2 linked regions of the Saccharomyces cerevisiae S288C genome follow. The protein of the gene in region 2 interacts with the protein of the main gene of each other region in a biochemical or structural test. Each region holds a gene or a part of one and is shown on either strand. Other genes may lie near its edges. The genes, in order: HIT1 and BCD1.

Region 1 (10,603 bases), on a different chromosome or scaffold from region 2:
TGCGCAATTGGGCGGTCACTCTGTTCCAAGGACCCATAGATCTTCTGGCAAATTACCACCAGGTTTTGAAATCGTGCAAGCGTTATCAAAAAAACTAAAGGATATCTCTTCCAAAGATTCCAATCTCGTGCAGATTATGCTAAACAGTGAAGTAGTGGATATCGAGCTTGATAATCAAGGTCATGTTACTGGTGTAGTATATATGGACGAGAACGGAAACCGTAAAATCATGAAGTCACACCATGTCGTGTTTTGCTCAGGTGGATTTGGTTACTCTAAGGAAATGTTGAAAGAGTACTCACCAAATTTGATTCACTTGCCAACTACTAATGGCAAACAGACTACAGGTGATGGTCAAAAAATCCTTTCAAAGTTGGGTGCCGAATTGATTGATATGGATCAAGTGCAGGTACACCCTACCGGCTTCATTGATCCAAATGACCGTGAAAATAACTGGAAGTTTTTGGCTGCAGAGGCATTGAGGGGTTTAGGCGGCATCTTATTGCATCCCACCACTGGAAGAAGGTTTACAAATGAATTGAGCACCAGAGATACAGTAACCATGGAAATACAGTCTAAATGTCCGAAAAATGATAATAGAGCACTTTTGGTAATGAGCGACAAAGTCTACGAGAACTATACGAATAACATAAACTTTTATATGTCCAAAAACTTAATCAAAAAAGTGTCAATCAACGATCTGATCCGACAATATGACCTACAAACTACAGCTTCTGAACTGGTAACTGAACTGAAGAGCTATTCCGATGTTAATACTAAGGATACGTTTGATAGGCCATTGATTATCAATGCCTTTGATAAAGATATTTCGACTGAATCAACTGTTTATGTTGGGGAAGTTACACCAGTTGTTCATTTCACAATGGGTGGTGTGAAAATTAATGAGAAATCTCAGGTAATTAAGAAAAATTCGGAAAGCGTTCTATCTAATGGGATATTTGCTGCTGGTGAAGTTTCGGGTGGTGTTCATGGAGCCAACAGATTGGGTGGATCTAGTTTGTTAGAGTGTGTTGTCTTTGGAAAGACAGCTGCGGATAACATAGCAAAATTGTACTGAGAATTTATAGGGAAATAAAAGATATTTTTGCAACGTACTTTACATTTCAATAATTAATGCGACATGATAGGATATACTGTTTGCTATTTCTTTCCGTAACGATATACGATTTTTTCTTTTCTTTGGAGTTCCAAATGAAGAATATATCTTGTTGGGAAAAGCTATAGTATTAGGTTTACAGAATATGGTAGAGGTTTCTCCCCGACGATATAGGAATCTACAAGAGAGAGCATGATTCTACACGATAATACTGCAATTTCTTCTTTGCGTTGAAGTGTCACCATTGCCTATCCTTTTACATTATCAATGTCAATGTTCCCTCTTCTAACAAACTGAATGACTTTTCTACACGATTCATATTATCTTCTTGCGCAGTAAATTATGTTAACGTAATAGTAGGGTCTCTTGTGCTTCATTATTTTGTAACTGTACACATAATTGACACGTTTAACAATTAGTGAGCGCAAGTGGTTTAGTGGTAAAATCCAACGTTGCCATCGTTGGGCCCCCGGTTCGATTCCGGGCTTGCGCAGTTTCTTTTCTTTTTTTCTGGAAAATAAGAAAACTTATTTATGGAAGCAAAAATGGAATAAAGGATTGGGACGAAGTTAGTGAAAAAAAACTGAAATAGTCCTAGAGTAACTCCGAAGTGTCTTTGTATAAGCTATTATCTAGAAATCACGAGAGGGGAAGAAATGTATCGCAGTAGAAACCGACCAAAAAGAGGTGGAGAAAATGAAGTTAAGGGACCAAATTCTGCCTTGACTCAATTTTTAAGAGAAGAAGGGATCAGTGCTGAAAATATCAAACAAAAATGGTACCAGCGACAGTCGAAGAAGCAAGAAGATGCAACAGACGAAAAAAAAGGTAAAGCGGAGGATGATAGCTTTACTGCCGAGATATCTCGAGTAGTTGAAGATGAAGAAATTGATGAAATTGGAACAGGTAGTGGTACCGAGACAGAAAGAGCTCAGGTTTCCTACGATGCCAGGATGAAATTAGTCCCTGCTGATAGTGATGAAGAAGAATATGAAACTAGCCACATTTCTGACACGCCAGTCAGTTTAAGTTCGGCTAATGACCGGGAATCATTGACTAAAAAAAGGCAAAATACTGCAAAAATTATCCAAAATCGTCGCAGAAAGCGTAAAAGAGCAGCTGACCTATTGGATAGACGCGTCAACAAAGTATCCAGCTTACAAAGTCTTTGTATTACGAAAATTAGTGAAAATATATCCAAGTGGCAAAAAGAGGCTGATGAATCATCAAAGTTGGTATTTAACAAATTGAGAGATGTCCTTGGTGGCGTATCAACCGCTAATTTGAATAATTTGGCAAAAGCACTATCGAAGAATAGGGCCCTGAATGATCATACTCTGCAACTTTTCTTGAAGACAGATCTAAAAAGGTTAACTTTCAGCGATTGTTCTAAAATTTCATTTGATGGTTACAAAACGCTAGCCATTTTTTCGCCACACCTAACCGAATTATCCCTACAAATGTGTGGGCAGTTGAACCATGAATCATTGCTTTACATTGCTGAAAAGCTTCCGAACTTGAAATCACTGAATTTAGATGGACCATTTCTGATCAACGAGGACACATGGGAGAAGTTCTTTGTAATAATGAAAGGTAGATTAGAAGAGTTCCACATTTCTAATACGCACCGCTTCACCGACAAATCATTATCTAATTTATTGATCAACTGCGGTTCTACCTTGGTATCCTTAGGGTTATCCAGACTAGATTCTATATCAAATTACGCTTTATTACCGCAGTACCTAGTCAACGACGAATTTCACAGTCTCTGTATTGAATATCCATTCAATGAAGAGGATGTTAACGATGAGATCATCATAAATCTGCTAGGTCAAATCGGGCGCACGTTACGTAAATTGGTTTTGAATGGCTGTATTGACTTGACAGATTCAATGATAATCAATGGTCTGACTGCATTCATTCCTGAGAAATGTCCATTGGAGGTATTGAGCTTGGAAGAATCAGATCAGATCACTACAGATTCACTGTCGTACTTTTTCAGCAAAGTAGAACTGAATAATTTGATTGAATGCAGCTTTAGAAGATGTCTACAATTGGGCGATATGGCAATTATAGAGCTATTGCTTAACGGAGCAAGAGATAGTCTGAGAAGCTTAAATCTCAATTCATTAAAAGAGCTAACTAAGGAGGCATTTGTGGCGTTAGCCTGTCCTAATCTGACGTATCTTGATCTTGGTTTTGTACGTTGTGTTGATGACTCGGTGATTCAAATGTTGGGTGAGCAAAATCCGAATTTAACTGTAATTGATGTTTTCGGAGACAATTTGGTTACTGAAAAGGCCACAATGAGGCCTGGACTTACGTTGATAGGGAGACAGAGTGACAGTATATAATAAAATAAAGACATATAAAACGTGTATTAGATAGAAAACGGAAAATTGACTAATGTTTTTATTCCTATTATACTCAGATCGTCAAATGTTGCCTTTATTTTCTATTGAAGGGATTTTATGGCATCTCGCGAATAATAAACAAACAATAATAGTAAAAAAAAAAGTGTAAACTTATGTATTCAGCGCAGATAAAAGGAAAAAAACGAGAAGTTTGACGTAAAGAAAAAAGTTCGAAAACTTTTGTAGCAGTTGAAAGTTTTGTATGCTATGTCAATTAGGCCTCTCACGTTAAACGGTTTAGATGAGCCAGAAACCTCTTTTGAAGAACTGAATACAACTCTACCTCGCTTTCAATCCCATGAAACATTAACTTTGGAAGAAAACGTGCCACCATTGAGTACATCAACTTATATACCGCCTCCATCCTCGGTAGGTACTTCTGACACTGGCACGGTATTTTCCAATAGTACCAGCGCGTTTTGGTCTAATAAGCAAGCAGACGATGATCAGGACATGGAGGTAGACCAGGATGATGAATTTCTAAATGACTTCCAGGAATTCCAAAATAAAAAGGATGATTTTGACGATGCTATTAAAACAAATTTTCATTTGAGAAATGGATGTCGAACTGGCCCTTTCAAAAACGACATTTTCGCAGAAGAGTTTGATAGAAAACTGAGTTTGGAAGATAAACCAAGGCTAAAGCAACCTAGATCAATGATGGAATTGAAACCAAAAAGAAAACTATCAAATAGCGTCACTTCAAGAAACTTAAGGTCTGGTAATTCTGTAAGATTTAAGAAATCTATGCCTAACTTAGCTTTAGTTAATCCAGCTATCAGAGAAGAAGAAGAGGACGAAGAACGAGAAAGAGAAGATCAACGAGAGTTTAATTACAAGATTGATAACGATACGCAGGACACAATTTTGGCGAAATTCAGTTCAGATGATGAAGGTGACTTTCTGACAGGATTTGAAGAATTAGAGGGTGAAGCAATTGATGAAACGATTTCTTCGAACGATAAAGAAAGTGCCGACCATCCGCGTTTCTTAAAGAAGTCATCCTCATCTTTGCCATTAAAAATATCACCTGCACAATATGATATAGTAAAGCATGACGAATTATTAACTCCAGGTCTTCATAGGCGACAACGAGATTGGAATACCCAGCAGGAACTGGACTCTTTTAAAGAAAAACGATCAGTAAGACACTGTTCTAATCAAAATGTACAACTCAATGGTCCAGCTAAAATCAAAACAATAAAACAGCAAATTGATCATAATACTCCAATGAAGAAAGGTTCTATGATATATAACCCGAAAACTATGAAGTGGGAAGGAAATGAAAACGTCTTAAGCAAATTTAGTGATGTAGACACGGCAAACAGGAAAGCTTTATTGATAAAAAACAAGCTACAACGAGATGCAGATTCTAAGAAGCAAAAATATTCTGATCTACAGCATGCAAGAGCCACTTCGAGAAATCAAAAGGTCATCGGGAACATGATTTTAGATGAACAAAATTTAAGATGGGTTAGTGTTTCAGAGGAAGAAGCAGACCCTTTTGCAGGCATTCCTGAGATAAACTTACCACCAGTTGGCAAAAGTATGAAAAAACGTAGCTCCTCACCATTTTTGCGTTCCAAAAGCCAAGTTAATACGCCATTTGTTTCAAATGACAATGATGGCGTTTATCAAAGTACGGCTGCTCAAGCAAGACTCCGTAAATACCATTCAATGAGGACACTTAACGGTACAACAGAAACTCCAGAAATAAGCTCTACTTTCCATTTGAGTTCAAGAGCATTGGAAAAATTTTACCACGAGGAGAACAGGTGGTGTAAAAAGTTAGCCTCATGGTTTATACCCCGAGATGAGACCATTATCAGTGTTGATGAGGAAACAATCATGGATGAAAGTACGGTCAATAGCAAGAGAAAATCCTATATGTATGAAATCAGGAACATGGTAATCAATTCGACAAAAGATTAGCCCTTTAGCCTTCTTATAACTGTTTCTTTACCGTTATCTTGAGTACATTCATTTCTCTTACATTCCAAAATTAGATAGAACCTTGAATCGTGTCAACTTTTCGCCGACATTTCGCGTCTGACAGAAAAAGAAATGTTGCAGAAAATTCGAATAGATGTTTCAAATGAAAATAGACCATGAGGGACACATTAACATTTCAAACAAAAGAGCCCTTGATGATTATTAAAACAGATCTTTATGGTTTGTTTAGCAAACACTTTGGTAATTTCATGAATATTTGACTAGCAGGAACAGAAAATCAAAAATGTTTAACCATGATTGGAAGTACTCCATTAATTCTAAGACTTTCGCCGATTTAAACATTGAATTATTTCGAAACCACAAGTTCAAAACTGTTTTAAATTACATAATAGGTGTAGTTGGGTGGAATGGATTAAAACTCGCCCTTTTTGTTTCTGACATTTACACATGTATCAAATTGCTGGCATTCAACTCCTGGTCAAACAACATCATCAAACCATACTTACCCTTTAAAATATCCAAATGGTTGTTTAGCGGTTGTATTTTAGCATCGATTGTGCTATTGATATGGGAGGCTATAGCGGGAATGAGGATTTACAAAACGGGAAATATCTCTTTGACTTATGTCAACAATTTTTCCAGAAACCTAAATTCAGTGCTCAATTATTCCAAGTTTTGTGTTTATAATATGATCGAACGAAAGGGTTTTCGACAGAAAATGACATTTTTTACTTTTTTTCAACTGAAAGATTGTATTAGATTAATCTTCACGGATACCCCAAGGCAAGTTATTAATGGTCTTACGCTGTGGTCAGTTCTCGTAACAGTAAATAAAAACGAGGATCTAGGCGATCTGGAATCATTTACCGGTTTGATCAACAAAATAAAGAACATTGGCCAGACCAATCATGAAGAAGCAGTGATATTGTCGCTGATGCTATTTTCCTTTATAATCTGGGCATTATTTGTCTTCAAGTTTCTGCTTGCTGTCATTTGCTCGATTTTTGTTTATTATAAAATAATCAATGATCAGGAATATAGCGGGTTGCGTGAGTACATTTGTGTTACCGTCAGCGAAAATGTTGATGAACTTGTTGAAAGACAAAGGAAAAAGGAAAATGATGACACGATTTATAAGACAGGTCTTCTCGAATCTCAGACTTTTGACGATTTTAAAGAAGTTGAAAATAAAATTGAAACATCTTTTAATGATACGTCATATGCTTCTAATAATGATTCTATGATTGAGCTAATAGAGAGAAGACCCGAATACAAAAGTCAGGATGTATGTGGGCCCATTCCCACAATGAAGAAAACGGAAACAATGGAATCGTTCGTTGACAATGGCAATCCACAATATACCACTAGATTCTCTGCGATTCTAGATTCACCATATATCAACAGCTATGAAAGTAATGATATAAAGAAAGCAAAAATACAAAGCAGAAGCGTAAATACTCCAAAATATGAGGATTTGTCTTCTTCTGACATTTTCAACAAAATACACTCTGCTGGACAATTAAAATCTACAACTTCTATGGAGTTTCACGGGCCATTAGATTCTATGCCAAATACAACAAACAACATCCGTAATTTTAATAGCAACAGTAGTAGACCTAGACCACCTCCTTTACAGACAAAAAGTTCGATTAATTCAAAAGCTGACTCGAATGATAATGGAAGGATTTATACACCAATGAAAGCGTACTTCAGGGAGCCTGATCTTCCGAGGAAGGGTTTGCTGGAAGATGAAGATCGTACATATAATTATACTTAATAGGCTGGCAAAAGCCCTTTGCATATTTCATGAATTAGATAGACGTGATTAGAAACAGCCGTTAGTATGTTTCTGATAAAAATAATACTTTTTTTGTAACACTATTTTCATATATTGGATTGATACCGGTTATAGCACAAACATAACAGCCATGAAAGTTTCTTTGAAAACCCCTTTTAACATTTGCTTGTAAGAGATAGGTTAATTTTTTATAGTTGCTGAGATTCCATTGTTGGTAAAGACTTAATATTAGGTATACAGAATATACTAGGAGTTCTCTCTGGGTATGTAGGAATCCACAAAAGGGTGTCACTAGTTCAACATAATAACATCTTTTTTTTATTCCTTCTTTGATATTTTGTCATATTATCCTATTATTTTATCAATCCTTGCATTTCAGCTTCCAATAGATTTGATATTTGTTTCTCAATATTATGTCATCTTCATACACAGTATGTGATAATATACTAGTAACATGAATACTACTAAATGAGTACTACCTTAGGGGTTCATTACAGCAGCTTAAGCGAAAGTAGAAAATGAGGCGGATATTTGTTGGAATAAAAATCAACTATCATCTACTAACTAGTATTTACGTTACTAGTATATTATCATATACGGTGTTAGAAGATGACGCAAATGATGAGAAATAGTCATCTAAATTAGTGGAAGCTGAAACGCAAGGATTGATAATGTAATAGGATCAATGAATATTAACATATAAAATGATGATAATAATATTTATAGAATTGTGTAGAATTGCAGATTCCCTTTTATGGATTCCTAAATCCTCGAGGAGAACTTCTAGTATATCTACATACCTAATATTATTGCCTTATTAAAAATGGAATCCCAACAATTACATCAAAATCCACATTCTCTACAATATTGATTTCCATCGTGTAAGTTTTCTGCACGAAGTTTATTCATTCAATTTGAAGTGCTTCGTAATAATATTACTATGCAACTTAGGTACCTCATATTTCTTAGAGTTCAACCAAGTTGGTTCCGTTGGCGTAATGGTAACGCGTCTCCCTCCTAAGGAGAAGACTGCGGGTTCGAGTCCCGTACGGAACGTTGATTATTTTTTTTTTTTCGTTTCTTTATAGAAAAAATTCAGACGATATTACCTTGCGATGAGATAATCTTACCGCAGAAAGAGTGCCACAGTGGTAATAACTAGTTGAAGGTTCATATTATATAAAAAACTCTAAGAATAAAAATGGTATCTAGTGCAGTTAAATGTGGCATATGTCGCGGAGTTGATGGTAAATATAAATGTCCTAAATGTGGCGTACGATATTGCTCCTTGAAATGCTATAAAGATGCTGCAAAGCATGTTCATAAGGAAAGCGAACAACCCAGGGCTGGTACAGAAGCTAATGTGGAAGTTGTTAATAACGATAAGATCATAAACAGTTCACTCGCAATGAATAAAACATTAAAGACGAAGGCATTCGATGATATATATCAAAATAGCGCAGAATTGCAAGAGCTGTTGAAATACAACACGGTGAAGTTCCATTTGGCAAAGGTTTATAGAATTTTGTCCAGTACTGTTAACGATGGAAGTTCTGGAAAAATGAACAGCGATCTACAAAAAGAACTAGCTGTAAATTATTTGAATACATTACGATATGGTGGTATACATTATAATGAAGCAATTGAGGAATTTTGCCAGATTTTATTAGATAAATTAAATGCGGTGAAGAAATAAGAATTATCGTTGTTAGCATGATTTTTAAGATTGAGCATTTTATTCATTTTTAACCATATAATAGTGAAGGTGAGGACTAATAACAAAGTACTTGTTGAAAGGGTCGGGTTGCTTTTAGGTTTTTTCTTCTCGTTAAGGATTTCCCACTTGTCTGGCAAGGCGTCAAGCAGACTTGGAAAATAATGATATTATGTCAGAATTTTTGTGTGAGGCGCTTCTATTGCAAGTTTGTGACACCTTATAATAAAAGTGAACCATGTATTTACATATGATTAGGGAAAGTTCCACCATCATCTTATGATCTTCATGGCCGTTTTGGTCTTCTTTTTAACTTGAAGTCCAACTTGGCGACTGTACATATATACATATATATAGCAATAAGTATAACAAGGCAACAAATCAGGTCCCATTATTTAATTTGAAGTCATCTACTGCCCCATAAGAACCTCTATATTATCAGTAGATTCTTTCTTTTAGGGAAATCGAACCTCGATATTGTAAGAGAAACCCGCGCCACTCCTAAAAAGGTATTTTGAAGGAGAGGATGATTTGGAGCAACATTTGGTACACTTTATCCTCAGTTTTTCGCTAACTACCTCGCAACTTGTTGTTGTGGATGAAATTTTTGATATTAATTTCAATAAATAAAATATATGCAAATATCATTATAATTTGTCAAGTGCGGGAAATAGACTATGCAGTGATTTAGTGTGCAAGTTTGCCCACTTCACATTCATACCAAATATTTCTTCCCACTCATTTTTATCGTATTAGCACTACATACGTGACTTTTTAGCTCAGCTTTCGGACTGGATAGCTTTACTGACTTACTTTCTACAAGCGATATCATTCGTCACAGTACTCCAAAGAAGTCTGGGCATTTAATTTTCTTCTTTATCAAGTCCGCCATTATGAAGGAATGTATTGGGTAATAGTTGACATACCGATGTTCTGCTGGTAGCATCGATGAACGAAAATAGGTAACGGCTTGCCGCTGAAGATATTGGAAATGAGACAGATCATTCTAGGGTAAAATGCGCTGTAGAGCTAGCGTCAATTGCGATTTTCGAACACTGGCTGCAGGTATTTCTGTTTTCTCGGCTTTCATTATAGTAATGTGAAGCTACTAGGAGAATCACGAAACATCTTTTTAGTAGGATGAGAACACCACGCTCTCCTAACTGGAAGTAATTTTTGGTATGCTTAGAGATCTGTTCCTCTCTTATGACTTCTTTTTCGCCTACTATAAACTTAATATCAACATATTTAGTTAGTTTTTTCAGAGCAATACGTGTTTATTTTTTCACAACTTCGCATGGCATTATGTATCATTGCAGCGTAAATTTTTACATTTAGTAATATCTAATAACATATACACAAAAAAGGGACAGATTTTTGAATTAAATAAACCAAGCGTAAATCAGTATTGCTCTTACCGCAGTAGGGGGAGTTATCTACTCCTGCTTAACGTAGAGAAACAATAGTAAAAGTTATGCTTGTGTTGGAATAAAAATCAACTATCGGCTGGCAACTAATAGGGACACTACCAATATATTATCATATACGGTGTTAGACGATGACATAAGATACGAGGAACTGTCATCGAAGTTAGAGGAAGCTGAAAT
Region 2 (3,185 bases):
GACTGCCGCAGCGGCGGATATCCCTCCGGCGCTGGTGTTCAATGGCTCATCTACGGGCGTTCCTGAGTCCATAGACACTATTTTGTCGTCCAAGCTGTCCAACATCTGGATGCAGAGGCAGCTCATCAAGGGTGATGCCGGTGAGACGTTGATCTTGGACGGGCTCACCGTGCGACTCGTCAACCTCTTCTCCTCCACTGGGTTCAAGGGTCTCCTGATAGAACTGCAGGCGGACGAAGCGGGCGAGTTTGAGACCAAGATTGCAGGCATCGAAGGACACCTAGCTGAAATCCGGGCCAAGGAGTACAAAACCTCATCCGACTCGTTGGGGCCGGACACCAGCAACGAAATATGTGATTTGGCGTACCAGTATGTTCGTGCTCTGGAGCTGTGAGTTCTTACGAATGCTTTTTCTTTTTTTTTTTTTCTGTTTGTATATTGCGGTGTATACGTATAGATAGATAGTCTAAATAGTAATCTTCAACCTTATGTATCTCGGCTCATGCAGTGAGGAAATCCATGGATAAGCCCGGATTGTAGTCATCGTCGCTGTCGCTGTCGCTGTCGCTGGCGTCCTGTGTTTCCTTCTGTACAGGTTCTTCTGTCGGTTGAGAGTCCTCTTCAGCGTCTTCCTCCTCCCTTGCATTGTCAATAAACTTGTTCAGTGTACTCGTATGCTCAAGTGGGCGGGGTTCCTGGTGTAGCACCTCGTAGCCCTCTGGTAGGTCAGCCTCTGTCATGGCAACGAATATCGTGGGAAACTCGATCACTGTGGTGTTCTTCAACAATTCTCCGATGCATTTCTCATGTATAGCCAACTCCACCAGTTTTTTTGAATCCATTATATGCGTGGTGTTGTAAGGGAACGTTTTCGTGTAGAATTTGAGCCCACTCTTCTGTAGGATCTGTGTTCTTTCCTCTTTGGTCTCCGAACCGTCTTCGCCCTCTATGCAAGAGCTTGTTCCAGCCAAGCGATAGAATTCACAGCATTTTTGGAAAACGTTCTTGCCCATCCCTTGCACCAAAAAGTCTGTCTCTTTGATACGGTGGCTGACATGTTTGAAAAGCTCCTTTTTCTCACCCTTTTCCTGCATAGGACATAGAATCCACTCCACGCTCCATACAAATAGGTCCATCGTTTTGTCCCACTTGCTCCTGTTTTGCGATGATCGCTGCATCCCCTTGGGTAGCATCAAACAGTTCACCCCCCTCCTAATTATCCTCTGACACTCCGTGCTATCACGATCATCCTCATCTATATCGTATCTTCTCTTCTTGAAATTAGAGTTGTGGCCGCCCACAGGCCCCAGAACCCGCTTGTTCTTCATTCTAGCATCCATCTTTTGTACATGCACCATTCGCTTCAACTGCGTCAGATAGTTGTAGTCCCTCTGGACATAAGCATTTCGTTCGTGCTTGTCGTCGTCCGCCTGTTTCAACGCCTCACTCGATATATACTCCTTAGGATCATGTGTTTGACCTGAGCAATTGTCCCTTGTCTTGTGCTTCTTGGAACACTCCAAAGAGCAAGTTTGCACCAAACATCTTGGACACTTGTATTTGAACTCTTTTATTCCGCATACACCACACAACACCGCCATACTTGCAAATTGCCACACCCTTCCCTATTAACTGGACTCCTATTCCAGCTCATCTCATCGAATATGAACTTTGACATCCACTATTATTACCGCGAATTTTTTTTTTTTTCAATTTGTTACCCTGCCTTGGGTATCAAAAATTTCATCTCTAAAAGGGAGCGTGATAGATAAAGCAATCACACCTTAAACAATACATTTTTTTTTTTCCTGCAATCTCCAAAGTGTGCAAGGTATACAAAGCAGAATGGTATGTGCCATTACATTACGTGTCAACACTTCTGTCTCTAACAAGCGTTCTTACTAACATGAAAAACTTTTTTAAAACTGTGCTCTCTTGTTGGACTGGTACCTCGTGACAAAGGTATTGGTTTTTTCATTGTTGCTCAGAACTATGTAATATTCTCTTTAGTCCCAAAAAAACGGAATTGCCACCCTACTACAAGCTGAAAAGGAAGCCCACGAAATAGTATCAAAGGCTAGAAAGTACAGACAAGATAAGTTGAAGCAAGCCAAGACTGATGCAGCCAAGGAAATCGACTCATACAAAATTCAAAAAGACAAGGAATTGAAGGAGTTTGAACAAAAGAATGCCGGTGGTGTTGGTGAATTGGAAAAGAAAGCAGAGGCTGGTGTGCAAGGTGAATTAGCTGAGATTAAGAAAATTGCAGAGAAGAAAAAGGATGACGTTGTCAAAATTTTGATCGAGACTGTCATCAAGCCTTCTGCTGAAGTCCATATCAATGCCTTGTAATATTGCATTACATTCTAGTTTTCTAATCATATATCTTTTTATAATATAATACCAATAGAATAAAAATGTATAAACTGACATTGCATTCGGTCTTTACGACTCTCGCTTTATCCATTCAGCCTTTTTTTTTTTTTTTTTTTTTTCTCTATCTGCTAAACGAGTAGTAGTATAATCAAAAATGTGTTATTTAGTATATCGGTTGTAAAGGAGAAAGTATGGTCTCTCTATTTTTATTTTATTAACGAAAAATACTAAACGCCGATGGGGATTACTATATAATTATAATAGTATTTGCAGAATAGTAGAATTCTTTTCACAGTTCACGTTCAGTTTCTCCTCTGTTTTATCGAACGTTTATTCATCATGTCCAAGGTCTATCTGAATTCAGACATGATTAACCATTTGAACTCCACAGTTCAAGCTTACTTTAACTTATGGTTGGAGAAGCAAAACGCAATAATGCGTTCTCAACCCCAAATTATTCAAGATAACCAAAAACTGATAGGCATTACAACGCTAGTTGCCTCAATTTTCACTCTGTATGTTTTGGTCAAGATAATCTCCACCCCAGCAAAGTGTTCCTCGTCCTATAAGCCAGTCAAATTCTCCCTTCCTGCACCAGAGGCCGCTCAAAATAATTGGAAGGGCAAGAGGTCTGTTTCCACTAACATATGGAATCCTGAAGAACCAAACTTTATTCAATGTCATTGTCCCGCCACAGGTCAATATCTAGGTTCTTTTCCATCGAAAACGGAAGCTGACATAGATGAAATGGTTTCTAAGGCAGGCAAAGCTCAATCTACTTGGGGCAATTCTGATTTCTCAAGAAGATT

What was found.
Region 1: the proteins of BCD1 (region 2) and HIT1 form a complex in vitro, tested with the Saccharomyces cerevisiae proteins (one study listed by BioGRID).

What each region holds. Positions count from the first base shown.
Region 1 is NC_001142.9:530,289-540,891, forward strand, and holds HIT1 (Hit1p), read left to right. Parts: upstream 1-8,483; coding exon 8,484-8,978; downstream 8,979-10,603. Other genes in the region: OSM1 (fumarate reductase), read left to right, coding at 1-1,078; UV-damaged DNA-binding protein RAD7, read left to right, coding at 1,774-3,471; BFA1 (Bfa1p), read left to right, coding at 3,739-5,463; KCH1 (Kch1p), read left to right, coding at 5,768-7,261.
Region 2 is NC_001140.6:186,340-189,524, reverse strand, and holds BCD1 (Bcd1p), read right to left. Parts: upstream 1,602-3,185; coding exon 501-1,601; downstream 1-500. Other genes in the region: SRB2 (Srb2p), read left to right, coding at 1-394; VMA10 (H(+)-transporting V1 sector ATPase subunit G), read left to right, coding at 1,846-1,848, 2,011-2,352; MSC7 (meiotic recombination directing protein), read left to right, coding at 2,716-3,185. UniProt on the Saccharomyces cerevisiae protein: Required for box C/D snoRNAs accumulation involved in snoRNA processing, snoRNA transport to the nucleolus and ribosome biogenesis.